7 linked regions of the Oryza sativa Japonica Group genome follow. The protein of the gene in region 5 binds, or shares a complex with, the protein of the main gene of each other region. Links are inferred from orthologs where the notes say so. Each region holds a gene or a part of one and is shown on either strand. Other genes may lie near its edges. The genes, in order: rps8; small ribosomal subunit protein uS13c; small ribosomal subunit protein cS23; small ribosomal subunit protein bS6c; small ribosomal subunit protein uS17c; 30S ribosomal protein S31, chloroplastic; rps4.

Region 1 (3,267 bases), on a different chromosome or scaffold from region 5:
CGTATACAACTTAATCGTACACCACTTTTAGCAATGGCTCGTAATGCGGCATCTCTTCCACTACCAGCACCCTTTACCATAACTTCTGCTCGTTGCAAACCCACTGTACGAATAGCATCTACAGCTGTTCTTTGACCAGCATAGGGTGATGCTTTTCTTGAGCTTTTGAATCCACAAGTACCCGCGGAGGACCAGAAAACCACCCGACCTTGCGGATCTGTAACAGTTATAATAGTATTGTTGAAACTAGCTTGAACATGAATAACTCCTTTTGTTATTCTACGTGCACTCTTCCGTAAACTAAAACGCGCATTCCTACGCAAACCAATACGTACTTTCCTACGTGAACCAATTTTTGGTATAGCTTTTGTCATATTTTATTATCTCATAAATATGAGTTAGAAATAACAAAAAGAAAAAAAGATACAAAGATATCCGTTTCAGGGTAAAATATATCCTTTACTTGAATTTTTTTATTTGGAATTTGGACATTTTCGCGGGTACTTTTTTTTTTACTTTTTAGAAAGTCAAGTTCTTTTTTCGAAAGATTACCCCTGTCTTTGTTTATGCTTCGGATTGGAACAAATGACTCTAATTCGTCCACGCCTACGAATCAGTCGACATTTTGTACAAATTTTACGAACAGAAGCTCTTATTTTCATATTTCCGTATTCCTTTCTTAAACTATGAATTTACTCTTTTGGAAAAAATAAGTCTCTTTGTTTGAATTTTAGAACTTTGAATTTTTTACCCTAGAAAAAAAAAAGAAAAACCTAACCCTTTGAATCTTTGGTATCCTTCAAATCTTCGGTATCCTTCGAGTCTTCGGTACGCTTCGAATCCTTATGGGGAAGTCTATAAATTATACGCCCCTTGCTTGAATCATAACGACTTACTTCAATTTTGACCCTATCCCCCATCAGTATTCGTATAGAACTAGACCGGATCTTTCCTGAAATATAGCCCAGGATGATGGTGTCATTCTCTAGGCGAACGCGGAACATTCCGTTGGGTAGGGCTTCCATAACTAAACCCTCGAAAGTAATTTTTGCTTCTCTCGGGTTTTTTTTTTCTCTCCTATTTTTCTTTTCTGTCATATTTTTTTTTCTCCTATTTTTCTTTTTTTATTTTCAAATAAAAAAACGTTGTATTTTTGTTTGAAAAATAGGAAGTTCAAGATAGAATTTGGGTACTATAACTATAGGTGGGGCGATTACCGCTATAGGCGGGCGATTACCATATATAACATAAGACTTCTCCCCCAATTCTGTTTAGTCGAGCTTCTCGATCTGTCATTATACCTCGAGAAGTAGAAAGAATAGCAATTCCCATTCCGCCCAAAACCTTAGGAATTCCTTGATAGTTGGCATAAATTCGTAAGCCAGGTCGGCTGATACGCTTTAAAAAGGTTCTAGTTCTATATATTCCCTTTCTAGTCTTTCTCTTTTGATGTCGCAAAGTTGAAACCAAGAAATATCTGTTACTTTCCTGATGTTTCCGAACACTTTCAATAAAACCCTCTCGTAGAAGTATTTTAACAATGTTTTCGGTAATATTTGTAGATACTACCCGAACAGTTCCTTTTTTATTCATGTCCGCGTTTCTTATAGAGGTTAGTAAATCAGCAATAGTGTCCTTGCCCATAAGACTCTAATTCTAGGTTCCTCCTAATTTTTCTATAATCAACATGTTCTCTTTTTTCTTTTCGTTTTGGATTCTAAAGCATATACGTGAAACACAATCTACTAATTTTTTATTTGATCTATATCTTGTCTACTAGTATTTATAATACTTCAGGAGCTAATGAAACTATTTTAGTAAAATTCAATTCTCTCAATTCCTCGGCGATCGCGCCAAAAACGCGAGTTCCTTTTGGATTTCCTTTTTGATCAATGATAACCGCTGCATTGTCGTCATAGCGTATTATTATACCGTCTTCGCATTTGAACTCTTTACATGTACGTACAATTACAGCTCGAATTACTTCGGATCTTTCTAGAGGCATTTGGGGCACTGCGTCTTTGATTACAGCAACAATAACATCACCAATACGAGCATATCGCTGATTACTAGCAGCTCCTATGACTCGAATACACATCAATTTTCGAGCTCCACTGTTATCTGCTACATTTAAAAGGGTCTGAGGTTGAATCATATTATTTTGATTTCAATTTGTTATTTCAATGCAAAAGGATGAAAGAAATATTGTCTTTCCAGAAAGAAGAACCTGGTTTTTTATTTTCAATACTACTTTTTTTGGGGGGTTATATTTCTAACCGAAGAAATTGACTTCGTATGGGCATTTTGCTGGCAGCTATGGAAATAGCTCGTCTAGCTACAGTTTCGGATACTCCGCCCATTTCATAAAGTATTCGACCTGGTTTAACAACGGCTACCCAATATTCGGGGGATCCCTTTCCCGAACCCATACGTGTTTCGGTCGGTCTTATTGTAACCGGTTTGTCGGGAAATATACGTACCCAGATTTTTCCACCACGACGTGCATATCGTGTCATTGCTCTTCGTCCTGCTTCTATCTGCCTCGCCGTAATCCAAGTGGGTTCAAGTGCTTGAAGAGCATATCTACCAAAACAAATACAATTGCCTCGGTAGGATTTTCCCTTCATTCTTCCTCTATGTTGTTTACGAAATCTGGTTCTTTTGGGGTTATAGTCGATGGTTCTCTCTTAGTTCCATCTCTACTGCAAAACTGGACATGAGAGTTTCTTCTCATCCAGCTCCTCGCGAATCAAATGAGAAAGTGTGCCAAATTTCTCTAATTCCACAATATTCTAAAATATTACGGATAGATACACATTAATAGGAAAGGTTAGGGTTTTTAATATTGAATTTATTAAAATACTAAAATATATAGTCAAGAAAGAGGATCTAGAATATATCTAGATGTGTATGTTTATTTATCTATATTCTATATTTAATGTAATTCTTTTTTTTTTTTTTTTTAATCTCCTTTTTTTATTTTACTCTTATTGAATCGCGGTAAAGTATTCTAATTCAATAAAAATTTCGCGGGCGAATATTTACTCTTTCCTGTCTTATTTGTTAATTCATAACCTTATCAAATAAGACAATTTTTTTGGTTTGTTCCGCCATCCCACCCAATGAAGTATTGGGATTCTTTTCAAGAAAATCCTATCCAGTCATAGGTTCTGTCGTTCCCACTGCTTCTCCTTTAATGGTTAGGTTTGAATCTCGCAATGGAGCTTCCAAAAAATTTCTTTCCGAGTCAATTTCTCAGTTTTATTA
Region 2 (4,772 bases), on a different chromosome or scaffold from region 5:
GGAGACATGGTCGCGGCTCAGAGTTAAATAACAATCAGGGTATTGGATAAACCGAACTGTTTCTGAAATCTGAACGTGCTCAATCGATCAATCAATGGATATCTTATAATTAAAAAAATTGTATCACATTTTTGTCAGCTTGCCAGAAAATTGTTAGTTTATCTGATCTCACTGACATATGACAATTGACAAACAAGAAACACAACATCCCTACAACTCTACAAGCAGGACCGTTAGAGCATCATTATCTTTAATTTTTCTGAGTACAACGTTTCATTTCTTCTTGTTGTAATGGCTCTTCTGTTGTCGCTCTATTAAGGGTCTGTTTTTTTTGTCACTTAACTTTACCAAATTTCGGTATTGCCAAATTTTTATAGAACAATAAAGTAAACATACTTCAACCATTACTACTAAACCAAAATTTGGGAGTCTTAGAAGCTTCCTCTTAAACCTCTACCAAAATTTGGTAAGATATCAAACCAAACAAAGCCAGTAGTACCGAAATGTAACAAAATTTGGTATGGTTGATTTGGACAACAAAGTGAACAAGCCAAGATTGAGCCGAGCAGCTCTCTCCAGAAAGTTCCATGTTCCAACCACACGCATGGTAATCATGGTAATTGGTAACTCAAGTTTAAATCATCTCTTCACAAAAAACCAAAATCTCGACTGGTGTCCGCTGCGGGAAATTTAACTATTTGCCACTCTTGTGACATGGCAATTAACGATTTGCCACACCCTGCCAATAACATGTGGGCCCTCATGTGTCTATGACATGTGGGTCTAGTAGCAAATCGTTAAGCACCATTCGTAAGAGTGGCAAATAGTTAAAAGCCCCGTCTGCTGCTATCAGCAAGGCAGGTTCCTAATATTATTATTCAGCTACACTGATACTCCTCTTTCAGCTTGTAAAGTTAACAAGGCATTAGATCTGACGGTGGCATGTGGAACAAATGGACAGAAAACTGGCGATACGTTAATTCATCAGGAACAGGTCGGTCAAGCATAGATATGACAACAGAAGAGAGACAGCAAGATGATGGACTGAAAAACATAGTATAACCTTAATTTAGCATCAGTTCATGTAAGACAGGTGACAAATATAACTTTTTCAGTGACAGATCACAACCCGTGATTCATCTATGACGACACCAACATAAAATCTCATAATACCAGACAAGAGCGTGGTCAAGCAGAACACAAAAAATAAACAAGAGGCAAAGAACCAAAGGTAAATACATGGCAATGTGTCTTATTCCTCCTGGGAAGCAGGCGACTTCTTCTTCGCAACAGAAGCCCTCCTTCCCTTCAGCGTCCTGCAATTGTTCTTCGTCCTCTGTCCACGAACTGGCAGCCCTAGCTTGTGGCGGATGCCCCTGTAACACCTAATCTCCTTCAACCTCTCAATCGCCACACGATTAAACCGTTTCTGTAAAGCATGGCAAACACATCAGAACTCTATTTTAGCAACACAACATAAATCCACGATGACAGAAATGGGAAAAGAACTACAGAGTCTTTTTTTTTTCAGAACGATCAGTTTAAGGGTACCAAATTTCAAGGAATCTTCAACATGCTACTCCCTCCGTTTCACAATGTAAGTCATTCTAACATTTACCACATTCATATTGATGCTAATGAATCTAGACATATATATCTATCTAGATTTATTAGTATCAATATGAATGTGGGAAATGCTAGAATGACTTATATTGTGAAACGGAGGAAGTACCAAAGTAGGGTAACCATACTAATCACCAAAATTACAGAAAAAAAGTTAAGTGATGAATTAGCAAGGGATAGGGCCATTACAAGGTCTCCCTCAATCATGTACTTGGTAACCTCCTTACGGAGAGTGATGACTTCCTCCTCGGAGAGGTCCTTTGTGACCTTGTTGTCAAAATTGAGGTCCAAGAGGATCTGACGGGAGCGTGACCGCCCAATGCCATGGATGTACTGCAGTGAGTACTCTACCCTCTTGTGGTTCGGGATCTCCACTCCACCAATACGAATGCACTCGATCCGCAGGCCACCATGACCAATACCCCCTTTCTGTCCAGTACCCAATAATAAAAAAAAAAGAATCAAAACCACAACACAGTTAAAAGCACAGGCCTACAAATGACTGGGCAAGTAAAGATAATGGGGTGGGGAAATTTTTTCTTTAAACTTGGTCAAACCTAAAGAACTTTGACTACTTATAGTATGAAACTGAGGGAGTACTAACAAGGAATTACGATTCTTTTTACATCCTATATGCATAATTAACCTTCTTTGCTATTCCTAGTCCCTACATGAATTACATATACACTCTGCTGTCCAAAGAAATACTACTTCGTAACACTATCCATTCTTCCAACATGATATGTGCTAGGGGCAGAGATTCAAACTCATAAGCATACAAGCATATAAATACTAGTTCCTCACAGATGCCAATAATTCTAAAATTGCACAGGAACACTGTTCTTCCAACATCACGGAAAAAAAACTACTGAATTGCACATACTCAAAATTAGTACTGTAGTACACAAAGCACGGCCACTAGCCTCCCCAACCTCCAAGATGGCAAAGATAACAAAACGATCCCAGGGGTTGAGTTGCAATAAGTGATACGGATGTACGATGCGTCATGCGTGAATCACATATCAATCGCACAGAACCAAGGAACAGGACGAGCGAGCAAATGGCCGAACAAGAAGTGGGCGCGGAGGGGGGAGGCGGGGGGAGGGGTGGCTTTGCTTCTCACCTTGGGAACGGGGAAGGAGACGGAGGAGCTGCGGCCTCGGGCGGAGAGGGGCAGGGAGGAGGTGGCGATGGGGACGGAGACCATCGAGAGGGTCGCCATTTCTGCGCTCCCGACGAGGGACGGAGGTGCGTGCGCTTCTCTCCCGGAGCTCTCGGTGCTGTCTCGGATAGAACCCAACGGGAAGGAAGCCGATAAGGTAGCCGCACCTGTAGGCTACCACTGTATCGGCGACTTCTTGGGTTGGGCCTTGCAGGGTACGGCCCAAACAGGTCAAGTCGCTAGTTTACTCCTTCTGTTAAAAAAAGAAAAAGAAAAAAGAACAAGCTAGGAGTACTCCATATCTAGATAACGCCGTAGTTGCAATTTTTTTCTTCAAACTTCCAACTTTTACATCACATCAAAACTTTCCTACACACATAAACTTCCAACTTTTCTGTCACATCGTTCTAATTTCAATCAAGCTTCCAATTTTAGCGTGAACTAAACACACCCTAAGTTAGTACTAGGCTATTAAGTTAGTACTAGGCTGTGTTCTTTTCCCACTTTTTCCAACACATCTCCCTTGTGTTCTGCATGCACGCTTTTCAAACGGTTAAACGATGTGTTTTTTTAAAGATTTCTACACAAAAGTTGCTTTTAAAAAATCATTTTTCAAAAACAATTAATAAATACTTAATTAATCATAAGAAAATGCTTCGCTCCGTTTTACGTGCGCGAGAGGTGAGTTCCTCCCGAACACAGTCTTAAGTTATGTTCCTGACTTTCTTTTTTTTTAAAGCTTTTTTAAGTTATGTTCCTGACTTTCTTTTTTTTAAGCTTTTTTTTAAGATGGAGGGAGTAAACACGAAAGAAAATATTCTCCTCTCTCTAGGAAAAAAAGAAGAATATGTTGTAGCCTTTAGGATCAGCTATGCTGCATAAGCTTCTTCTGAATATAAATTTCTGGGGTTTTTGTGGGAGGATAAAGAACTGCATAAGCTTCCTCTGAATATAAATTTCTGGGGTTTTTGTGGGAGGATAAAGAATTTCAGCACGTTTATAATCCTAGATGTAACAGTTTAGGTACTACTAAATGTAAGTTTAATTCGTATTGCATTTTGTATTAGGATAATCTGTGGGGAACGTTCTGAATATCATCTTGCAGAAATGTCTCAAGTGAAAATAAAATAAATGGAGATAATAGGACAATTGGTGGCAAATAACACATCATTTCAAAACGACGGATAAGGTTGCCCATCCAATTGGGAGCAGTAAGATTTACTGTAAAACCACAACAACCAGATAGTTCCACCGCATCGTTAATTGGGACGTGGGGATTTATAAGAACATTGGGGCAACAGATGCAACAGCTTAGCGTCATCTATTATTGAGGAAAACATTCATCATGTTACTACTACATCTCTACAGCTAAATTGAATAGGTATACAATATCAACAAAGAAAGGGAAAAAAAACTAATACACTTCTGGAGTGCTCTACTAATACACTGTTTAGATGCTTTTTAGTGGCATCATTCGTATATTCTCTTCCTTTTCAGAATCGTTGGAGCAACAGCAACAGTTCCAATGAGGAATAGAATTACTAGTGTTTTTGAGTCATACAGTTCCCTAAGTGATCTTAGATCGCCTAGTGCCCTACCAGCCTGCAAGACAGCAGTAAGAATGGTGATGAGTAGATAAAATGGTATCACTGGAAACAGATAATACAATCAGATCAACCACCAAACCCGTCCACAACTAAGTAAATCCTGAAGTCAACGGAGAAGACGTGCAAAGTGCAAAGACAGTTCATGAAACATAATACACCGTCATCTCCTGTTGTAGTGTTGTGCCCGAAAACTTGGCAAAAGAGCAATGCTATAGTATTAAGATAATAAATCATGATACTTGAATCAGTACTTAAGCACTAGCCCATCTTTAATGCGAATTCTTAACATACAACATGGATTCTAGTTGAGATTTTTGCCTTGCTCTAAAGTAAAGGCAAAGCTGAGTCAAACAATAAGATCATTAAACCTATTATTGAGA
Region 3 (4,523 bases), about 12 Mb from region 5:
GCCGCGCTCCGACGTGGCCGGCGCGGGCGGCGGCGGCGGAGGTGCGGCCGGCGGCGCGGCGGGCGCGCAGCACGCCAAGGCCGCGGCGCACCTCAGCCACACGGCGCAGTGGGAGAGCGCGCGGCTCGAGGCGGAGGCGCGCTTGGCTCGGGAGGCCAAGCTGCGCGCGCTCGCGGCCTCCGCGACCCCGGGCGCGCCGCACCTCCCGGCACCCCCCGCGTCGGCGGCGGCGGCGGCGGCGGCTCACGGCCTCGACTCGCCGACGTCCACGCTGAGCTTCTCGGAGAGCGCGGTGCTCGCCACCGTGCTGGAGGCGCACGGCGCCGCCGCCGCGGCGGCCGCGCGCGCCGCCATGCAGCCCATGCAGGCGTACGACGAGGCGTGCAAGGACCAGCACTGGGGCGACGTCGACGCCGCCGACGTGGGCTTCCCCGGCGCCGGAGCGGGGTTCACGGGCCTACTCCTCGAAGGCTCCTTGAACCAGATCCCGAGGCCGGCGGGGAGAGACGCGGAAGCCGACGGCGAGTTCCAGGAGACCGAGGAGGAGAAGAACTACTGGAACAGCATACTGAACCTGGTGAACTCCTCGTCGGCACCTATGTCGACGGCCGTGGTTGTGCCCGCCTCCCACGCGTACTCGCCGGCGCCGGACTTCTGAGCGGAGAAAACCTCGCCGGCATCAAACTTGATTCGATCTCATGACACAGTAAATAGTTTAGCAATGATTGTCGAATAAGATGGGACTAATATTAATGTTAGTAATTATTAATCACGTTCTTGGGTTAACCTGACAATGCTTTCGATTAAACTTGTGGGCAAGAACTTCAACTGTTCAAGGCTGTATCGACATTTGAAATTCGATGCTTGTTTTGTTCGGTGTTCTTATAGAATGTGTAAAACACTGAAACTACTATCAGAGAATGTAGCATCCTTACTTGCAAAGTTACTACTCCTGCTTGTTTTTTTTCAAAACTTACGATCATTTCAGTACTTTGTACCCGGTTCATTTCATTCCACTATCAGTTTTTACTACGCCCAAGCGGTTGGCAACTGGGCACTAGCACTACTGAAGGCCAGGGTTTCCCAAACCACCGGACCGGGGTTACCACACGGTAACCGTGTAAAATTTATCAAAATTTAAAATTATTTTTTAAATTTATTTGAATTTAAGGGGGTTACCGCGGTTTCCCTTTTACCGTACCCCACGGTAAGCGCGGTAATCGCACGGTTACAGACGGTTTTGCAAACCCTGCTGAAGGCAAACGGACGGCCTCATCTTTTCGCTTATACTTATGTTTATCAGTCAAAATTTAAATTTTTACCTTTAAATTTGGGGTTGATTTTATTTTTTTTATCGAAGGTTTATTTTTCAGTCTTTGCTTTTAGATCGTTAAAAATATATATATAAAAGATTTATTCACAAATTATTTTTTATTTACAAATATGCCATTTCGTTTATTCTCGAATAACCGAGACGATTGAGCTGTGAGCTTTTTACTTAGATTGGATCTGGGCCGGGCCGTTTTGTGCTGGGCCATATTGGGCTTTACCATAACTTTCTAGCCCACATCTAATAGCTGACGAGAAGGGGATTATTAAGGGTAAAGATAAGAGGAGGCAGCCCCGCACCATCGTCTTCCTCCTCTTATCCGCACAGGAGCCTCGGACTCGGACACGATGCTGGCGATGTCCGTCCACCCCGCCGCCACGCCGGCCCTCGCCTCGCGCGCCCGCATCTCCCGGCCCAAGCTTTCCGCCGCCTCCCCCTGCACCACCTCCTCCTCCTCCACTCCACGCCTCGTCCACCTCGGCAGCAGGAGGCTTCCCCTTCGCTCGCTCCGTGGCCTCGCCGCCGCCGCCGCTTCTGGCGCCGTCGAAGCGGAGGAGGGAGAAGAGGAGAAGCAAGTCGGAGGTGGGGATGCGAGCGCCGGCGAGGAAGCGCAGGAGGTAATGGGCTAGTAGCCGCTCCAAACCATGCCAGTGACTGAAATTACGGGGTTTTTTTTTTTACCGAGTCGAGCTCAATTTCAGAAGGAAGTGTTGTTTTTTGAAGAGGATGGAGTTCAATCACATTTGGTTTCGCATGAATTTGATTTTTCTTGAATCAATTTTGGTTACCGAACTGATTACTTGAGCTCATAGGTGAAATACAGTACGAGGTGTACATTTGGGTGAATTCACGAGTAGAGTAAATCTTTAGACACAATGCACAGCTGAAAGCTTAAGAGAAGTCACAAGTAGAGTAAATTAGAGAAGTTCTAGTCTAGTTGAGCATGTTTGGGCACTCGGGCTGTCCTTTTGGTGCAGTTTTGCACTTCTGCAGATAAAAGGTGTATGCTAGTGATGAAGAGGCGAAGAGCACATGAAAGCATGTCCACAAACTTGAGCGTGTGCCATTTTTGGTTGTATGTGTAAGCAAGAACTGAACTATTGAACAAACTGTAGCATTGACAGGTTTTGGTCATGAAAGGAGTTTTTTTTCATTCAGCTATTTACGTGATTATGTAACAACATTAACAGGCACAATAAGTTCCTTTTTCATCACTATATCAGATTTCAGAGATGTACACTAAAAGTGGATTAGTTTTGATTATATGGGAGTTACCCTCACAGTTGAAAAATGGGGCCTTTTGTAGAGAAATGAAGTTGTCAATGGAACACGTACAGTAGTTGTTGCAATTTATTTTACTACGACTTGAGCTGTGTTAAAACTGCACAATTTATTTTACTCAGATATGCAAAATCAGTATTAGCATTATGAGATTTGAAACGAATTGATTTTGTATCGCAGTACAAGGTTAAGGTGCCTGAAAGGCAGGATCCAATGCTTGTTCTGAAGTTCATATGGATGGAGAAGAACATTGGCATAGCCCTCGACCAGTTGGTTCCCGGCTATGGCAGCATTCCGTTAAGCCCATACTACTTCTGGCCACGGAAAGATGCCTGGGAGGAGCTAAGAGCAAAGCTGGAGGAGAAAGAGTGGATCTCTCAGAAACAGATGATCATCCTTCTGAATCAGGCCACTGATATCATCAACCTTTGGCAACAGGGTGGTGGCAGCTTGTCAACCTAAGAGGATATCTCAATTCTCCCATCCTTGAGAACCTTGTTTCTTTTTTTCTTGCTTTGGTTACACGGATCTTTGTTGTTACATGACCCTGTAGATCGATTCAAACTGTTTTCGGATACGGTTTTGTTTATGGAAATGAATTGTGATTGATCTCTGTAAGGTAAACGATTTGGGCTCCATCATCCGCAGGGAAGATTGCTAATACCTCTTGATACTACTATACCATGATCCAGTTAAATAAATGTAACTCGATATTTTGAACTTGAAGAAAAAGGGGAATTTCTTTTCTTTCGAAGAGATTTGGGGTCACGGGGGCATATACCCCTTCTACTGCGATTAACTAACACCGGTGATGCCCTGAAAAAGCCCGGCCCGCTCCGCGCACCACGAGCCTAGGCCGTCCACGCGTAGGCCTCTGCAAAACGGGCTGCGGCAACGCGTGAGCCTGTGCGAAACGAGCGTGAAAACGCTCGTGGACTCGTGGAGTCGTCGTGGTGCCCGCGCGTCGTGCTGCGACGCTCGTTCTCACGCCGCATGCAGCGCCGCGCCAGCTTGGTCACGGTCTCAAAAGCGTTCAAAAGGCATGGGAGCAACTGAGCAAGGCGTAGCAGCTTATCATCATCTCGGCCAAGGGGGGAGGAGGGGCAAGGCACATGGAGGCGTTGGGTTGGAGTTGGACCTCCTAGGTAGGGAAGCAGGAAGCTGGACTCGCTAGGAAAAAAAATAATGGAGAACCTGTACCGCGTGTACCAGAAGATAAGCTTATTTAGCAGTACTGATTTTTTTTTTTCTAATGAAAGGAAACAGAGTATTGTTAAGTCCCAAAGAGATAACTTATTTTTTTCCTCTTCGACAACGTAGTACTAACTTAGTACTAGTACTGTTTTCTATGATCAAAGTAGAATATTGTTAAGCTAGCTAGCACTACCAACTGTCCTCCCATAAGAAAAAGGTAAGTACTACTACTATAGTAGAGACTGACCAATCAACTCAATTGTGTAATGCACTGCTCAGATGGCATCTTTACCTTCTTAACACTCAACTTCCTTACAGAGTAACGTGCCGCTTTAGGCTTTATTACTTGCGATAACCGGAGAGAGAGGCTGGCAAAGTATACGTAGCTTCCCTATAAAGTTGTCCAAGTTCATCGCAGAGCTCCAGGCAGGCAGTATAAAAATGGGAAATGTACACCTGAAAAGGACGAATCAGCCCCATTTGGGAATCCCCTGCACGGCGTCAATCTCGTCATCTTGCCCTTTTCTTCCCATCGACCTGATGATTGACACTTGTGGCCTCTGGGGATTAAACTATTGCCACCATGGGCGATCGATCGATCGAGATTAGAGCAAGTATAATAGTGAGCTATAAGAAAGCTGAATGCTGAAGTGGATAGGAGAAAAGAGGAGAGAGATGAGAAGCGGGCTGTAAGTTTACAGCCGGCTTAGGCACAGGA
Region 4 (4,787 bases), on a different chromosome or scaffold from region 5:
AAGGAGAACCTGTGGAACTTGATCTTCTCGACGTCGACGTCGGGCTTGTAGGGGATGGGGATCTCGCCGGACTTCTCGAGGGGGAGCTTGATCCTGCCGATGATGGGGACGTCGATGAGGAGGACGACCCTGACGAGGTAGGGGATGATGCTCCCGGGCTTGATGTCGTTGTAGGTGCTCTTGATGTCGTCGTAGATGAGTGAGATGGGGATCTTGACGGTCTCCTCGCCATGGGCGTGGATTGTGCCGGCGTCCGGGATGAGGCCGGAGACGAGCTTGCGGCCGTCGCTCTCGATGAGGTAGTCGATGTCGACGAGCGGGATAGGGACCGGGTTAGGGTTCTTGATGAGCACGTCGACGACGAGGTCGGCGCGGTGGAGGCTGATGTGCGGGATGTGGACGCCGGAGACGTCGGCAGTGGGCTTGCCGAAGCCGACGGCCCCCTCGATCTTCTCCCCGATGTCGTGGATGAAGTCCTTCACCTTCTCCATGAATCCCCCGCCTCCTTCCTTCTTTTCGCCGCCGTCGTCGTCCCGGCGGTCCTTCCCGCCGCCACGCTCCGTCACCGTGGGGTTCTCCGACGAAGACGACATGCTCGCTAACTTCAGGTAGCAACAACAACAAGCGATCGAATCAAGATCTCACAGCAAGATCAAATCAAGCAAACAGATCGCACGCCATTGCTAACTCCACAAGAATCACCAAAGACTTGATCACAAGAAAGATTGCTTTCTTTTCTCTTTCCTATTCTACACGGCTAGGCTACACACGGCAACAAGATCTGAGGCACAAATATCCTCCAAAACGAAGCGAGAGCAAGTAGAAAGAAACATAGATTGATTTTTTCTTACTTTACCTGTGGGTTGATGCGGAGATCTGGACGAAGCGAGTGGAGATCGCGAGCGGAATGGAGAAATTTAGAGAGAGAAGAAGAAGAAGCACGCGGAGAGATGAGCAGAGCAGAGCACGAGCTTATCGTGGAGCAAGTACGGCGTGGGGCCCACTTGCAGTGACACGAACGGACTGCCAGCTCAGCTATACTGTCGGCTGGACACGAAGTCAGAGGCAAAGCGAGAATTTTTTTCATTTTTAAATTTTTATTTTTTAATATTTAAAAAATATTATACCATCCAAAATATTTACATAAATTACCCCTGACACCTAAGGGTGAGTTTGAGAGGAGGGGAAAAGAGAAGATTGGGAAGATACGTAAAACGAGGTGAGCTATTAGTACATGATTAATTGAGTATAAACTATTTTAAACTTTAAAAATAGATTAATATGATTTTTTAAAGCAACTTTCATATAGAAAATTTTTGCAAAAAACACACCGTTAGTAGTTCGAGAAGCGTGCGTGCGAAAAATGAAACAAACTAACTCACAAACTCCTCCTGCCGAACGCTCCCTAAGTGGAGGGTGGCAAGGTGTGCGTATTTTGCACCGAGATATAATGCAATTTTCACCTTGTAAAAAATACAGTTTTCTAGTTTTTTTTATCTTGTCCGTCCTCACATCACCTTGCCGCCCTCGGGATCTACTTCTGTAAATGTTTTCGCCGTACAATATTTCTGTAAATATTAAAAAATAAAAATTTAAAAATGAAAAAACTTAGGCAAAGCGAAGTGGCTGGAACCTTTACCTGGGCCAATCAAAAGCCGGTCCATTTGGCCCACTAACCCCGGCCCAACAAAAACCGGTTTAATGGGCCTCCATCTAAAAATCCTATCCTTATCTATCCACTGGACACGAAGGCAACACACCTCGCCTACCTCCACTCTCTCGCGCTCGCTCTCCAATGCCGCCACCAATGGCGCTCTCCATCTCCTCCACCGCCGCGGCGACCGCTCTCCTCCCGACTCTCCCGCCCTCGCGCTCGCGCCTGCGCGTCGCGCCGCGCAGGGCGGCGGCTCGGGTGGCGCGCGTGGTGTCGGCCGGATACGCCGCGGGGTTCTACGGCGGGGCGGCGGCTGCGGCCGGTGGCGAGAACGACGAGGTGGGGGATGAGGAGGGTTCGTCCTCGGGGTTCGGTGCTGGGCTAGGGATAGGAGGCGGTGGGCTTGGGATGTCGGCCGCGGAGGCGGCGCTGGCGCTGGAGGAGCGGGAGATGCCGCCGTGCCCGCCCGGGCTTCGCCAGTACGAGACCATGGTCGTGCTCCGCCCCGACATGTCCGAGGAGGAGCGCCTCGCCCTCATACAGCGTTACGAGGAGGTAAAAATCAAAATTACTAGTAAATAATTAGCTGCACTGACTAGGCGCCAATGCATTTGCTATCTGCTGCAGTAGACATGAATTTCCGAGGAAGATTTGTAGTGGCCAATGCATGAGAATTTTATCTTTTGCCAGTTTATGGTAAATCGGGCTGAATTTATGGCACACTGGTAAAACTCAAAATCACTACTAGTGGTAAATAATTAGCTGCATTGACTAGACGCCAATGCATTTTGGATTTGGGCTATGCTGCAGACCTGCTCCTGCAGTTGACATGAATTTCTAGGAAGGTTTGTACTGGCCAATGCATGAACTTGTCATCTTTTCCCAGTTTATGGTAAACCAGGATGAGTTAATGGCATACTTGTTTCTTATTAAAAATGCTGTCATTTGGCTCGTTCTGTCATTAACATTGCTTAAAATCATATATCAGTCATTGTAGGTGAAGCTGAAGCAAATCATTTTGTTGCAAATGTATACTTTCTGGTCAACAGCTACAGCCCCATATTATTTGCGTATGTCATAGTGGAGATACAGGAAGCATAAAATTGTTTCTGCTGTAGAACATACGTTTACTACAGAACCTACCAAAAAAATAGTTTTGTTATTATATATCCATCATTCCATCCTGCGCGCACAATCTCCTGCATTGTTTAGTAGGAGTAGTAGCAATCACCAGTTAACACGCATTCAAGTTTACCTTGGTCTTTTTTTTTTTTTGTCCCATAATTGTCTTGGTTGATGATCAATCAAGCCTCTTGCCCATTCTGTAACCTTAAATTTGATGGTATCCTGAAGTGTGACTTCACTCCATAAGATGTTCACTTGCTACAAACCTATCTGCAATTTGCTTACTGAGTTACTTATGGTGGTTTTTCGCATGTCTTGCAGCTCCTTGTTGCGGGTGGCGCCATGTATGTGGAAGTCTTCAACCGAGGAGTCATCCCACTGGCATACAGCATCAGGAAGAGGAACAGCAGGACTGGTTTGCCATCCACCTACTACGACGGAATCTACCTCCTTGTGACATACTTCACCAAGCCTGAATCCCTGGATGCTCTGCAAATGAGGCTCAATGCTGACGACGATGTCATCCGCTCAACCAGTTTCAAGGTCCGCAAGCGGAAAGCCTTTTAAGATCAGTTTCACCACCTGGACTCAGGTTTCCATGTTTTGGGGAATATGTTTATATCATACAAGAATCCTACTGCCATGGGAGGAGATTGGTTTTTCGCTGCAATCGTTGAGAAAAAATGTCGCCCTTTCTGTTGATAATTTAGAAGAAATTTGTCTTCCTTTTTTTTCGTTATAGCACTGCTCTGATCTTACCTGGTACTCCTACACGTTAAGGGATATTGAACGAACACTTTTGTGGAGCATGGCCTGCTGGGGCCTCTGGAACAAGTTATGCTGTTAACAAAATCAGGGCTCATTTCCTGTACGCCATGGCATTTCATTTATAGGCTGCCTTACCGTGCATTTCATTTGTTGAGTTTTGATCATTTGTTTAACATCAAGACTACCAGGGCATTTAGCTGATAAGAGGGCAAAACACACTGATGGCTGGGAAAAACTAGTTTTGATTAACACAAAATCGTCTTTGGTACACCATAAGTATGATATAAAGTAGTATATGCTGGCCAACCATAGTAGGTCAGAAACAAATGCATACAGCACAGTCTGACGGCATATATCCATGCTCCAGAGTTCTTCAGTAAAAGCTCAACAAACACAATATCTCGGAGGACCACAAGTATCATGTAGAAAAACCAGAATACTCCAAAATCAGCCATCATGGAGCACCAGATTCAGTATCTATCGTGGCGCCTGAAAATAACAACTGTCTAATGTTAGCTCCTAGTGATATAAAGGTTTCCATATCAAAAGCAGATAATTTCATTGTGTTTCTTTGTCATTATACTGTCAAAAGTTTATGGTCGGAATAAATCGCTATACAAGAAAGGCAGAGAGAAGTGAGCAAAGAAACCATTGAACCATACCTGCGCTCCCTGGATCGAGAACGTTCCCTTCTCCTTGAATCATGGCCACGCGAACGGTCATAATCTCTATCCCGATCGCGATCATGGCGGCGGTCCCTATCGTGGCGCCTATCCCGATCACGATCATGGTCTCTTCTGCTTTCTCGAGGTTCAACTCTGTCCTTTCTTTCTGAATCTCTATCCCTGGATGCCTGACCATTGCGGTCCTTGCTGTATTCTCTTGATCTGATGAGCACAGCATGTACTTTCAGATTATGCTGACACTACATGAAAATGAAACTAGGATGGAAAAGCACATACCGCCTGTCATCTTCAGGTGCCTTCCTTCTTTTACTTCTCTCCTCCTGGAAGGCGGCATAGAATATTTTATAATGATAAAATCATGATATCAAGGCTCCAATTTGCATAGGAGGGAAACAGATAAAGGAAAAAAAGTAACATATATATAAAAAAAAGGTGCAAGAGATACATTACGGTTAAATTGCTCCAGCAATTAATTTACAAACTTAGTACTTACAGTAAAAGATGGCAAAAGGAGTGCACTTTCAGAGTAACTTAACCGGTACTATTTATCACCA
Region 5 (3,920 bases):
TGCATTTTAAGTTGTTCTCATCACGTCTTTTACTCGAGTGAGCATTTCAGCTAAATGCCTCGTGTGTCCTGACATACTATTACAGGGCTTGAATAAGTCACTTCTCGAAAATAGCGCAATCACTCTTGGGAGGCTTTGCTGGGTCTGTCCAGACATTGTGGCCCCCCACATGGACCATTTCATGCAAGCCTGGTGCAATGCCTTGTGCATGTAAGTGTCTGTCCTTTAAGCTCTCTGGTGCCCTTTTATGGATCTAATTTTCGTCATGTACAGGATACGAGATGATTTTGAGAAAGAGGATGCATTCCATGGTCTATGTGCAATGGTACATCCACGCTTTTGCTTACTGTTACAATTTACAAAGCTGTCTGACTTACACAAAATACTGTCATTCTATACTAGGTAGCAGCAAACCCAACTGGAGCTGTGGGTTCACTAACTTTTATCTGCCAGGCCTGTGCAAGTTGGAACGTGAGATTCCTGTCATATTAGACATGCTTTCTGCACCAGTATTCTGCACCGAAGCTCACGATATTTGTTTATACAGGAGATAAAGAGTGAAGGTTTACACAATGAAGTGTGCCAGATTTTGAATGGATACAAGCAGGTATATATTTTTTTTTCTTAGGGCGGGTAAAACGATTCCTCATTGCGGTTCTGTATCGGTACCGTACATGCAACAAACTAACAAAAAACATTTTCCATAGATGCTCGGAAGTGGGGGTTGGGAACAGTGCATGTCCACCCTAGAGCCAGCGGTCGTTCAGAGATTAGGCAGATACGGAGTATGAGGATACCGACGGAATTTGTTTTGGTTGTCTATTCTTTACTATACGTTGGGACGGAAGCAAAGAGAAGAAAGGGAACTCATCGTGCAGCGCCAGTGTGTGATTTTTATGATGTGATGGATTCTGGCCGGTTAGTTTTGTATGCTCCACTGCTAGTGATATATTGGTTCGCACAGGACTGCTGTCTGAGAGCATCATGTGCGTTGTCCTCAGCACAAGTGAGTGGTAAGAAAGAATTACCACGACAGACAGAATGAAGGCTAGTACCTTCCCTTTTGGTTTATTGAGTCGATTGGGTCGAAGAGCTGTGCTTGATTGTAGGTTCTATTGTACTGGTCAGTTCAGTGGACTCGGTTCTGTTTTTTTGTCACTCCACTGGCACTGGCACTGGCACCCCAGCAGCAACATAGAGTTGTTGGAAAGGTTTTGTAGCGTGTATTTTATGGGTCCAAGAGTTTAGGTGTAGGGTCTTCTCTCTTTTATTTTATTTTTTTTCCTTTTGTGCTCGACAGGGTTGTATTGATTCATTCCCCAATAAAAAAAAAGTATTGAACAAACATTGAGACTGAAACAAAAGGAAGATTGAACAAGCTTTGAGCCTGATGTTCAAGGTGAGTTGAGAGGGTATATGGTAAAAGAAAATACTCCTGATCATCCAAGCCTGAGATTCGTAGGCCTATGTAGCGGCATATCGCTTACTCCTAACGTCTGGGTAGTGCGAGTTATGAGCACATTTGTCTTGCTTTGGCTGACCTTCCATTTCCATCCGGCTTCAAGACGAACGCACGCATACATACAGTAGCTAGTGTGTTTTCAAATGGGCTGGGCCGGTGATGTTGCAGTAGCCAGCCCATTATGCTGGGTTGTCCGACCGGAAACCTTATCCCCTACCCGTCCATCAGGCTCAGCTTCTTCTTGAGCTTCCACGGGTGGAGAGGCAGCCAAGGATACGATAGCAAGGAAGAGAGAGCGTTGAAGATGCTGCTGACCACCCCGTTCGTGTCGTCCCCTGTGAGGGTCCAGGGCAATGGGGGCAGCGGCGCCTCGCCGTGGGCGGGCGCGGCGACGGCGCTGAGGATCCAGGCGGCGAAGCAGCTGACGGGGCGTGTGGTGACGACGAAGGCGGACAAGACGGTGGGGGTGGAGGTGGTGCGGCTGGCTCCTCACCCAAAGTACAAGCGGCGGGAGCGCATCAAGAAGAAGTACCAGGCGCACGACCCGGACAACCAGTTCAAGGTCGGCGACGTCGTCGAGCTCCGCCGCTCCCGCCCCATCTCCAAGACCAAGCACTTCCTCGCCGTCCCCCTCCCCCCGCGCGACACCCGCCGCAAGTCCCAGCTCCTCCCGCCTCTCCAGTCCCAGTCCCAGTCCCAAGACCAGGACCAGCCACCCACGCCTCCTCCTTCCTCCGATTGATGGATTTTTCTTCTCCCGTAATCGTAAATTCGTAATGTAATAATCTGTGCTGTACTATGTACTCCATTGATTTTTATTTGCTCTGGATTTCGAACTTCCCCAGCAGCAATGCTATGTTCCCTTTTCATTTCATCTGCTCATATGCATGTTGTTACTCAGTGAAACCATACTACCAATATAATGCTACTAGAGTAGAATGTGCTTGTGTAATTCTGTTATCCTAGCCCCCATCCCATCGAAGAAATTATTTAGGGCTTCTATAGCATCGAAAGACTAAAAGAACTCAATAACCTTCGACTAGTGATACAACACCTCCGAACTACGTTCCCGGTCTTCAGCAAGCTTCCCGGTTTCATTGTGATGGTTCCTAATATGATTCGAGAATTTCAATTTGATATTTGTTTTAAACCATCCGGGAAACTTGTTTATACATGATACTGGTAGAATTCTACTACATAACTGTCCGCTTAAATTAATTATAGAGAAACAAACCCCTTGACCTATGCTGCACGGTCAAGCAACACGAGAAACAGTCAGTCATCGCCTGCTCCTGCTGGGCGTGTTCTTTGTGATGGTTGGAACAACTTGGAAGCGCTCTCTCCCAACACGCACAACGAAATGATGGACTAGTACACTAATTAAGCATTAGTTTAAAAAAACTTAAAAAATTAATATATTCTTTTAAACAATTTTCTTTTATTTTTTTTAAAAAAATATATAATAGTTAAAAAAACATGCACGTGAAAAATAAAAGGCGGTGGTTAGGAAGAGCCTGAATACTTTGCTTGCATCGTCCACCCCAGTCTCCCAAGGCTAATGGAAGCAATTATCTCTTCCTGTGAAGGATCACTGTATTTTGTTTCACTTCCTGATTTTACTTTTACAACGTTATTGAAAGACATTGCATTCTGCAGTTTAGCATTTGTCGTGTTGCCCATCCAAGTACAAATACGAATCAACGTTTTGATTTCCAATGTGCAAGAAACGCATGAACAGCTGCATGTTAAATTGGCAAAAAAATACTTGCCTTGTAACAATCTAAATAGTAGTATTCTTTGGTTCGGAAAAACTTCTCTAGTGTAGTACTACTACTGTAAGTAACTTGCAAGATTTGATGGCCCGGGATGTATCAGGTGTGAGAAAACTAATCTCTGGCTGCAGACCAGCAAAGGAAAATCTCCACTGCAATGCGACGCGCCAGCCCCAGCAGCTGATCAAAATTACCAGGCAGGCAGGAACTGCACCCAGGAAGAGGAAGACTCAAATGAAACATCTGACAAATGATCTGTTGATCACCAGCATTGTGATACTTGTCCTGAAAGTTTGGGACAAAATAGGAAGATCAATTATCTGATGACGAATGCAAATGCTGAAGCGAGGCAGATAAAGATGAGGGAGGCGACTATTTTGGCAAGGTCAAACAAATCAGTAGAGATGGGCAATGCACCGAGATTGTGAAGTGCAAGTGCGTGAGTATAATAGTTACATCTGGTCGGTAATTCTGCCACAGGTATATTAATTATTCTGACCAAACAAAACACTGAGGATGTACTCCATCCGTCCCATTTTAAGTGCAGCCATATTTTTTTTTTACCTAACTTTGATCGTCTGTCTTATTTAAAAATTTTTTTAAAAAAATTAAAAACATAAGTCATACATAAAGTATTATTCATGTTTTATCGTCTCATAACAATAAAAATACTATTAAAATAAGAC
Region 6 (4,134 bases), on a different chromosome or scaffold from region 5:
ATGAATAGATAATTGATTTTTTGTACAATGATTACCCATGATTTGAAAGACATGACAATTACATTTACTTCCATTTCTTTTGATGCAGTGATAAATACCCTCAGGATTTCTACAGATTAGATTCTCTTGTGCAACAACTCAAAGGCAGCGGATCCAGGTATAAAACTGGGGCATATGCCCAGAACACAGAGTGAACAATATTCTTTTACAGGTCTCATCAGTGTAAAATCATGTCTTAGGTCTTAAATAACCAATATAAAAACATTCAAACTTAAGAATGCTTATTGATGTGAAATGAACAAATATTATTTGTTAATATGAATGTTCTCACCGAAAGCTTGTCATCTTTGCCTGCTTTATGTGTTCAAAATTCGCTAAAGTTGGCCTGTGTTTGGCGCAGCATTGGTGCACTGAGGATGAAGAATGAGTGCTCTGTGTTCAAAGTAAACTGCAATGACAGGAATCTGGAAGGGTATGCATTTCATTGACTCGTCCAACTTGTTCTTCACATACTATCCAATCATCATGCAATTTCCTCACATGATGTGATGAGGCCATGTTCTCTTTCAGATGCCGCAGGTCTCTTCAGAAGATGAAGAGGGAGCATGCCACTCTGAAGCAGAAGCTGGAATCATATTTTCAGGTATGTTGTACTACATCCTTGTCTCTCTCTCTTTCTGTTTACCTTATTTTCAGCATTGCTACATGGCTAAACAACTTGGTTATCTCCTGTTCCTTCTGCTGATGCAGTTACTGAGGCAAGTTGGTCCCCGTGATTATGCAGTGAGCTCAAGGAAGTAAGAAGAACAGTATGAGTTCCAAGGAAAATAAAGAACATATACATAGCAGCTATCAGTCTCTTGAAAATTCTGTCGCTGAAAAGTTTTTGTGCCAATCAGATACTCATAATGCTTAATGGTGCCTTTTTGTTGTGTTTGGATTGCATCTGTAGCTCCATAATCCATATATACTGTATGAAGTTATGTAAAGCCCTGCTTATGCACACTCTCCTTGCCTGTCTACAAAGTGCCATGAACTTGTGTTATTAGTCAGTAATTGTAGCAGAAAGTGTCATGGTACTAATATGAGCTTTTAATGTTTGAAACTAGTAATATGTAAACTAGTTTTTTGGGTTAATTAATTGCCCAGGTGCCATCATGGAAAACTATTTGTTTGTACTTTGTATACTCAACAAACGCTATAGTCACATTCCCAGAACCAAAGACACTTAAAAACACTGGTTTTTCATCTCTTCCACTAATATTCATAACAGTGTTTGAGCTTTAACCATCAATATCATTTTGAACGTTTCGATTTCTAAAATCTTAAAAACGTTATGGCTAGATTTGTCTTCAGAAGTCCTAAAAATATCATAACTTTGCTATATTCTTCATAAGTTTTATACTAGTAGTAATAATTTAATCATAAAAAAATGATTATCTATAGAAAAAGAAATGAGAGGACAAAAAAAAAAGAAAGAGAAACATCAGAATTGCAGAGGGCCAAGCCAATCATGGGCTTGGTCCATAGGCCCAAGAGACAAAGCCCAATCCATGGGCCTGGGCTTCCCTTTCCCTCCGTTTTATCTACTCCGATGCACGCACAGCTTATCCGATTCCATCCATTCCTCAAGCTCTCACTCCTCTCTCGCTTCCATGGCGCTCCTCGCCGTCCACGCCATGGCCGCGTCCCCGGCCACCTTCCCCTCCTCCCACCACCACGCCGCCGTCTCCTCCTACTGCGCGCTCCCCGCCGCCGCCGCATTCTCCCGCTCCCGCTCTCGCGTCGCCGCCGCCGCCGCCGCCACCCTCTCGGCCCCGCTCACTCCAGTTCTTGAAGGTAACTGACATGCCTACCTAACCTCCCTGTCTCTGTTTTGTTCGTCAATTCGGATTAGTCTGGTGTGAAATTGGCTCGATGATCTTATATGAAACTGCTTTTCAAATCGTATTGCACGAATTCAATTGATACAGCACCAAAACATAGATTGAAACAAAAACCTCGCAGTTTGAACCAATTACGATTCCAACTCAAATTACTCCATTTGGTGTGACCAGTTTACTGCGGGAGAGGGGACAAGAAGACCAAGAGGGGAAAAAGGTTCAACCACTCGTACGGAAATGTGAGTCTCTAGCACAAAAATAAAATTAATAAAAAAATCATATGCTTATTGCTTCCTGTGCTGCTGTTTGCTGCAATTCTTCAGACTTGCCATCTGCTGACTGCTGTTTGCTCATCTCAGGCGAGGCCGCGCAACAAGAAGAAGGGAACTGGCCCTGCACGGCTGTTCGCGCCGCCTGCGCCTCCGAGGAAGGACCAGTTCGACGACGGCGAGGTCACCCCGATCGACATCGACGATGACATCCTGGAATAGGTTGTCTGAATTTCCCCCCTTGAATTATGGTTTACCTTGAGCTTACCTTTTGTCTAGTCTGTACCAAACACTGTTTCTTGAAATTAATTACAGTACATTACATGGTCTCATTCTACATAATGTAGATGCCTATGATTTCTTTCCTTGTAATATATATGAATGGTGCTGCTTAGAGTCATTTTTTATGCATTACCAGCTGAAGCAGAACATAAGTACAGATACAATCACCAAACTTTCATGTTCTTGCTAGAAACCAGGGAAGATGCAGTATCTCTTTTTTTTTTCTTTTCTAGCTGTGTCCCTGAATTCAAGCACCTTTTGACATGCTTCGAATTTGTTGTGATGATCTGGGAAGCAGTTCTTAAGAATCAACTAATAAACCAGTCCATCAGATCGGGTCAGAAATCTGCCCCTTTTTTGTTGTTTTGTCTGTTGACTCTGTTATGCGCTTGAGTTTTGACACAAGAAATTGTTTTGATGATCTGCAAAACATATTCCTTTAAAGCTGGACAACAAACCAGTTCAACTGGTCAGCTTGGTGGTAATTGTATGTTAAAATTCTGTCATTTTTTGTTGTTTCGTCTGCAAGTTTGTTGTGAGCTGCTCCCCCCGCCCACAAGGGTAAGCAACTATCTCGCCCGAAATATACTACAATTTTGGCCCAAACTGGAAGTGTAAACCCTGCTACGCAATGGCTTTAAGAACCCTAAACCCTGAAGCATGTTTTGTTTGCTACCATTTCAAGCCATCACAAATTTTGGTAAGATAACGAACCAAATATGTTCGAGTATCCCTACCTTACCAAAATTTGGTAACGTACGAAACAAACCCGCCATCTGTTCAAAAATTTGGTGAAGTAACAAACCAAACATTTTCCCACAGTCCTAACATTTGATAAGTTCACACCTCTACAGCATATAAAAAATAGAGGGGGATAAATAGAGCAGTTGTCAGTTGTCACTTTTACTCAACTTCTGTTACTGTTATCTCTCCGAACCTAGAGGCAACATCACTTGTCTTCCACTGGACTGAAACCAGGGTCCAGTGTGATGCCAACCTGCTGCAAGGCTGCAACCTATTACAACAACTGAACCTCATGAAACAAGACATTTTGCTTTTCATTTTGATGCATTTTGATTTGAAGAATAAGGTTTTACCCTGATTCTGTTAATGAAACCATCATTTGGATTACAGAGTTTGCAACCAATGCACTAGATTTTTATATTAAGAAATACTAGGGTTCATTCTCATTTTTTTCAATCAACAGGACAACATCCATAGTGGTAACTTGACAAGATGAGACAAACAATGCACAAAACATATATTCTTGAAAAAGGAAAAATAGTAACAATACATACTCGATGTTGCCGTGCAAGTTTCTAGTACTACTTATATGTACCTTAAGCAAACATTGCATATTAATGGAAAACATGTCTCAGCTATTTTCGCAATGCAGAGGTGGTTCTGAATAATTCTGATCCTCCATATACATTTTGGCAATGCGGTATCTTTTTTGAGACAGCAGTTAAAATTTCATCAATCTAGCCACCAAAAAATGTCTCCTCAAATCAATACTCAGAGAACTTAAGGAAAAAGAACATGAAGTTTTTTGGATAAGCCAGATGCACATCTGCACTACACAAAAGTTGAGCCCTAAAAATCTCATATTTAGACCACCTCATGAGCCCAAAGCTCCAAAAGCTTGGGGTTCCGAGTTGCAATTCCTACTATGAGTTCCGCTCAAAGCATAAGTTATAAAA
Region 7 (3,808 bases), on a different chromosome or scaffold from region 5:
CCCGGAGGTTGTCGGAATTATTCGCAATAAAATATTGGCTACAATTGAGAAGGTCTTATCAATGAAATTTCCATTTATACGGGATCTAGGCATAATTCCCAACCCATTCTATCATTCTATATAGAATTCTTTTCATTCCTTCACAAAATAACATAAAAAAAAAACAAATCCATTCAATTCTTATCAAATCGATCCCTATGCTCCAAATGGATAAGAGAGGTATTTCTGCTCAGCCCAAATTCTCTCTTTTTCCTTCTGTTTGAACAAGAAGAGATAGAAAATATTTGACTAAGATTGGATTTCATTCCACTTTCCTATTTCTTTTCTCAACAACAACTTCTCTCATCAACTATTTCGCATTTTCAAAAGTCATTAATCGTCCCATACCCTATTTTCTATTTGATTGTATGGGGTAGGATACCTTATGCAAACAGAATTCTAGGGTTCCTTTTTTATCGAATAAGAAGAATTCTTCCATTCTCTTTTTCTTTGGTTTGGGGAAAACCCAAACTAAAACTTTTCGAGGGAGCGGAATTCCTAGTAAAAAAATCCTGGACCCGTCCACTTAGATGAAAAGGAATTTTTCTATCTAATAGAACAATGGAACTCTCGCGCGGTTGTGGTTGTACCTGTACTGCAGGAATAGGAAAACTCGCTATTCACTCAGTTTTTTTTCCATAATAAGATTATGGAGGAGAGATGGCCGAGCGGTTCAAGGCGTAGCATTGGAACTGCTATGTAGACTTTTGTTTACCGAGGGTTCGAATCCCTCTCTTTCCGTTTTTCTTAATTCAGCAACGTTAATGATTACAATGTATCAAATCAAATGACAATTTATTCCAGCAATAATACAATACCTTTATTTAATAGAAATTCTCTATACCAAATTACTATGGTATGTAAAATACACATAGAGGAAAGAACAAAAAACAAAAAGGAATCCTAGGGTTAATCCATTTCTGTTAGGTGAATGGGAAAATACGAATTAAGAGCCTTAGGTCGATTTAGTTCGGGGAAAGGGGAAGGGAAGAAAAATTCTATGAACCTTTCCGTTTTTCCTTAAGTTCAAGTTTGACGAGAGTAATATTCTACAACTAACAACTCATTTATTTTGAGACCGACCCACTTCCTATCCAGGATTTTTTTTACTAGTCCTTTATATTGCAATGTGTCAATCGTCAAATGCTTTGGCAATTTCCCCGGGTCGGATGAAGCAATAGAATTTTGAACCAGACGTTTTGATCTTTGGTTATCCTTCGTAGTAATAATATCTCGGGGTTTGCAACGAAAACTTGGTATATCGACTATACGACCATTAACTAAAATATGTCTATGGTTAACTAATTGCCGGGCCTCGGGAATGGTTGAAGCCATACCTAATCGAAAAAGGATATTATCCAAACGCATTTCAAGTAATTGTAGTAAAACCTGACCTGTTGAACTTTTTGCTTTTCCAGCGATATGTACATATCTAAGTAATTGTCGTTCTGTCAGACCATAATGAAAACGCAATTTCTGTTTTTCTTGAAGACGAATACGATATTGTTCTTTTTTCCCAGAATGGAATTTCTTTTTCAGATTACTTCCGGATTTAGGTGTTTTTCTAGTGAGTCCTGGTAAAGCTCCCAGACGGCGTATTTTTTTAAAACGAGGTCCTCGATAACGGGACATGAAGACTCCTTTTTTTATTGAAATTTCATTTTACACAATTAATTTCATTGTATTTACATTACAGAATACATCGAAATTAAAACTGAATTAAAGTAAAGGATAAACAGAGTAAAATCTACTAAAAGTACCACAAAAAAATGGAATTTCATCAACATCTGAATTTTTGTATATATATTATTTATTTTATTGTTTTGTATCTAGCAAAATTGTAGGGTAGACCGACATAATAGATCCTGGCTTCTCCATTTAATTCGGAGAAAAAGAGGTATTTTTGTTCATGGAACATTGATAGAGAAAAAAGCCGACTATCGGATTTGAACCGATGACCCTCGCATTACAAATGCGATGCTCTAACCTCTGAGCTAAGTGGGCTTACATAACAGAAATAGTGTAACAAATAGAAATATGTATAGTATAGGAAATCCGTAAAATGTCAGATCTTAATTATTAATCTTAGCTATTAACTAGTTCGAAATTGGAAGTTCTACTTAGAAAAAAATACTAGAACTTCATAAAATAAAGTTAGATAGATTTTTTTGAACTTTCTTTTTTCTCTAATTCGCAAATCTATTTTTCTAATAGAATCTATTCCAATTTCTATATTGAATTTGATTTTAGATATTTTTAATTTGATATGGCTCGGACGAATAATCTAATACATGGAAAAGAATAAATAATATATATTATATACGAAAACATAATAAAGAGAACATGCGAATTTCTTGTATTTTCAGTCCATCATTATAGACATTTTTTGAGATTATTTTGTTTTTTTTTGTTATTTGCTAATAATTTAATGATTAATATTTCACTAAGGAGAACATAGAATCATAGCAAATGAAATTGCTAATTCTGATTAGCAAAAAAAAAGAATGAATATCAAGCGTTATAGTATGATTTTGAATACTCTAAAAAAGGAACGCGGTAGGTGGGGGAGAGAAAAACCTTGGGATATATTGATTCGCATTGAATTGCAAATACATCAACGATAGAATCAATTCAATGCTGAATTGCAATAAGCGGAGTCTCTCAACTAGAGACGAACCGCTAGACTACATAGAGTAATGAATTCAACGATTCAAAAAAAACTAACAGATGGAGGAAATTGCACAAGGAATCCTGGTCTCAAAGAAAAAGAAAATGGGGATATGGCGAAATCGGTAGACGCTACGGACTTGATTGTATTGAGCCTTGGTATGGAAACCTGCTAAGTGGCAACTTCCAAATTCAGAGAAACCCTGGAATTAAAAAAGGGGCAATCCTGAGCCAAATCCATGTTTTGAGAAAACAAGCGGTTCTCGAACTAGAACCCAAAGGAAAAGGATAGGTGCAGAGACTCAATGGAAGCTGTTCTAACGAATCGAGTTAATTACGTTGTGTTGCTAGCGGAACTCCCTTCTAAATTAGGGAAAGAAGGGCTTTCGAAATCTAATACCACGTATAGATACTGGCATAGCAAACGATTAATCACAGAACTCATATCATAATATAGGTTCTTTAATTCTTTTTTAAAATGAAAATAGGAATGATTATGAAATAGAAAATTCATAATTTTTTTAGAATTGTTGTGAATCCATTCCAATCGAATATTGAGTAATCAAATCCTTCAATTCATAGTTTTCGAAATCTTTTTAAAAGCGGATTAATCGGACGAGGATAAAGAGAGAGTCCCATTCTACATGTCAATACTGACAACAATGAAATTTCTAGTAAAAGCAAAATCCGTCGACTTTCTAAGTCGTGAGGGTTCAAGTCCCTCTATCCCCAAACCCTCTTTTATTCCTAACTCTAGTATTTATCCTGTTTTTTTATTAATAGGTTTAAGATTCAATGGAATACATTTCTTTTTTATTATAGTATCGGCAAGGAATGTCGATTATTAACTCGATATTTAAATATTATTAAATAGGCTTTCTTTGTACAATGCATAGGACTGCCCCCTCCCCATTTCCAAATTTTGGATATTGACATAGATACAAATACTCTACTAGGATGATGCACAAGAAAAGGTCAGGATAGCTCAGTTGGTAGAGCAGAGGACTGAAAATCCTCGTGTCACCAGTTCAAATCTGGTTCCTGGCACAGAAAAAAGGGATCTTCCGAATAGGTATTGATACAAATACCTCGAGATGGGTTG

What was found.
Region 1: small ribosomal subunit protein uS17c (region 5) and rps8 share a complex: the UniProt entries of both Arabidopsis thaliana proteins name them as parts of the 30S ribosomal subunit. The link is inferred for Oryza sativa Japonica Group from reciprocal best matches to the Arabidopsis thaliana genes RPS17 and rps8.
Region 2: small ribosomal subunit protein uS17c (region 5) and small ribosomal subunit protein uS13c share a complex: the UniProt entries of both Arabidopsis thaliana proteins name them as parts of the 30S ribosomal subunit. The link is inferred for Oryza sativa Japonica Group from reciprocal best matches to the Arabidopsis thaliana genes RPS17 and EMB3137.
Region 3: small ribosomal subunit protein uS17c (region 5) and small ribosomal subunit protein cS23 share a complex: the UniProt entries of both Arabidopsis thaliana proteins name them as parts of the 30S ribosomal subunit. The link is inferred for Oryza sativa Japonica Group from reciprocal best matches to the Arabidopsis thaliana genes RPS17 and PSRP3/1.
Region 4: small ribosomal subunit protein uS17c (region 5) and small ribosomal subunit protein bS6c share a complex: the UniProt entries of both Arabidopsis thaliana proteins name them as parts of the 30S ribosomal subunit. The link is inferred for Oryza sativa Japonica Group from reciprocal best matches to the Arabidopsis thaliana genes RPS17 and AT1G64510.
Region 6: small ribosomal subunit protein uS17c (region 5) and 30S ribosomal protein S31, chloroplastic share a complex: the UniProt entries of both Arabidopsis thaliana proteins name them as parts of the 30S ribosomal subunit. The link is inferred for Oryza sativa Japonica Group from reciprocal best matches to the Arabidopsis thaliana genes RPS17 and PSRP4.
Region 7: small ribosomal subunit protein uS17c (region 5) and rps4 share a complex: the UniProt entries of both Arabidopsis thaliana proteins name them as parts of the 30S ribosomal subunit. The link is inferred for Oryza sativa Japonica Group from reciprocal best matches to the Arabidopsis thaliana genes RPS17 and rps4.

The regions. Positions count from the first base shown.
Region 1 is NC_001320.1:75,465-78,731, forward strand, and holds rps8 (ribosomal protein S8), read right to left. Parts: upstream 1,645-3,267; coding exon 1,234-1,644; downstream 1-1,233. Other genes in the region: rps11 (ribosomal protein S11), read right to left, coding at 1-374; rpl36 (ribosomal protein L36), read right to left, coding at 549-662; infA (translation initiation factor 1), read right to left, coding at 774-1,097; rpl14 (ribosomal protein L14), read right to left, coding at 1,784-2,155; rpl16 (ribosomal protein L16), read right to left, coding at 2,265-2,666. UniProt on the Arabidopsis thaliana protein: One of the primary rRNA binding proteins, it binds directly to 16S rRNA central domain where it helps coordinate assembly of the platform of the 30S subunit.
Region 2 is NC_089037.1:29,173,217-29,177,988, reverse strand, and holds small ribosomal subunit protein uS13c, read right to left. Parts: upstream 2,940-4,772; 5' UTR 2,846-2,939; coding exon 2,747-2,845; intron 2,053-2,746; coding exon 1,813-2,052; intron 1,430-1,812; coding exon 1,253-1,429; 3' UTR 1,038-1,252; downstream 1-1,037. Other genes in the region: uncharacterized membrane protein At4g09580, read right to left, coding at 4,256-4,387. UniProt on the Arabidopsis thaliana protein: Located at the top of the head of the 30S subunit, it contacts several helices of the 16S rRNA.
Region 3 is NC_089038.1:23,519,953-23,524,475, forward strand, and holds small ribosomal subunit protein cS23, read left to right. Parts: upstream 1-1,625; 5' UTR 1,626-1,677; coding exon 1,678-1,947; intron 1,948-2,791; coding exon 2,792-3,073; 3' UTR 3,074-3,235; downstream 3,236-4,523. Other genes in the region: transcription factor MYB106, read left to right, coding at 1-658. UniProt on the Arabidopsis thaliana protein: Component of the chloroplast ribosome (chloro-ribosome), a dedicated translation machinery responsible for the synthesis of chloroplast genome-encoded proteins, including proteins of the transcription and translation machinery and components of the photosynthetic apparatus.
Region 4 is NC_089037.1:36,415,762-36,420,548, forward strand, and holds small ribosomal subunit protein bS6c, read left to right. Parts: upstream 1-1,763; 5' UTR 1,764-1,795; coding exon 1,796-2,209; intron 2,210-3,100; coding exon 3,101-3,346; 3' UTR 3,347-3,650; downstream 3,651-4,787. Other genes in the region: uncharacterized protein, read right to left, coding at 1-593; uncharacterized protein, read right to left, coding at 4,018-4,036, 4,210-4,434, 4,510-4,553. UniProt on the Arabidopsis thaliana protein: Binds together with bS18 to 16S ribosomal RNA.
Region 5 is NC_089038.1:35,900,175-35,904,094, forward strand, and holds small ribosomal subunit protein uS17c, read left to right. Parts: upstream 1-1,697; 5' UTR 1,698-1,766; coding exon 1,767-2,204; 3' UTR 2,205-2,658; downstream 2,659-3,920. Other genes in the region: transportin-1, read left to right, coding at 86-210, 274-325, 403-471, 548-607, 708-791. UniProt on the Arabidopsis thaliana protein: One of the primary rRNA binding proteins, it binds specifically to the 5'-end of 16S ribosomal RNA. Required for optimal plastid performance in terms of photosynthesis and growth. Required for the translation of plastid mRNAs.
Region 6 is NC_089039.1:5,295,005-5,299,138, reverse strand, and holds 30S ribosomal protein S31, chloroplastic, read left to right. Parts: upstream 1-1,609; 5' UTR 1,610-1,655; coding exon 1,656-1,839; intron 1,840-2,057; coding exon 2,058-2,122; intron 2,123-2,206; coding exon 2,207-2,374; 3' UTR 2,375-2,765; downstream 2,766-4,134. Other genes in the region: pseudo histidine-containing phosphotransfer protein 2, read left to right, coding at 89-157, 401-472, 571-643, 751-801.
Region 7 is NC_001320.1:43,745-47,552, forward strand, and holds rps4 (ribosomal protein S4), read right to left. Parts: upstream 1,672-3,808; coding exon 1,066-1,671; downstream 1-1,065. Other genes in the region: photosystem I assembly protein Ycf3, read right to left, coding at 1-93. UniProt on the Arabidopsis thaliana protein: One of the primary rRNA binding proteins, it binds directly to 16S rRNA where it nucleates assembly of the body of the 30S subunit. With S5 and S12 plays an important role in translational accuracy.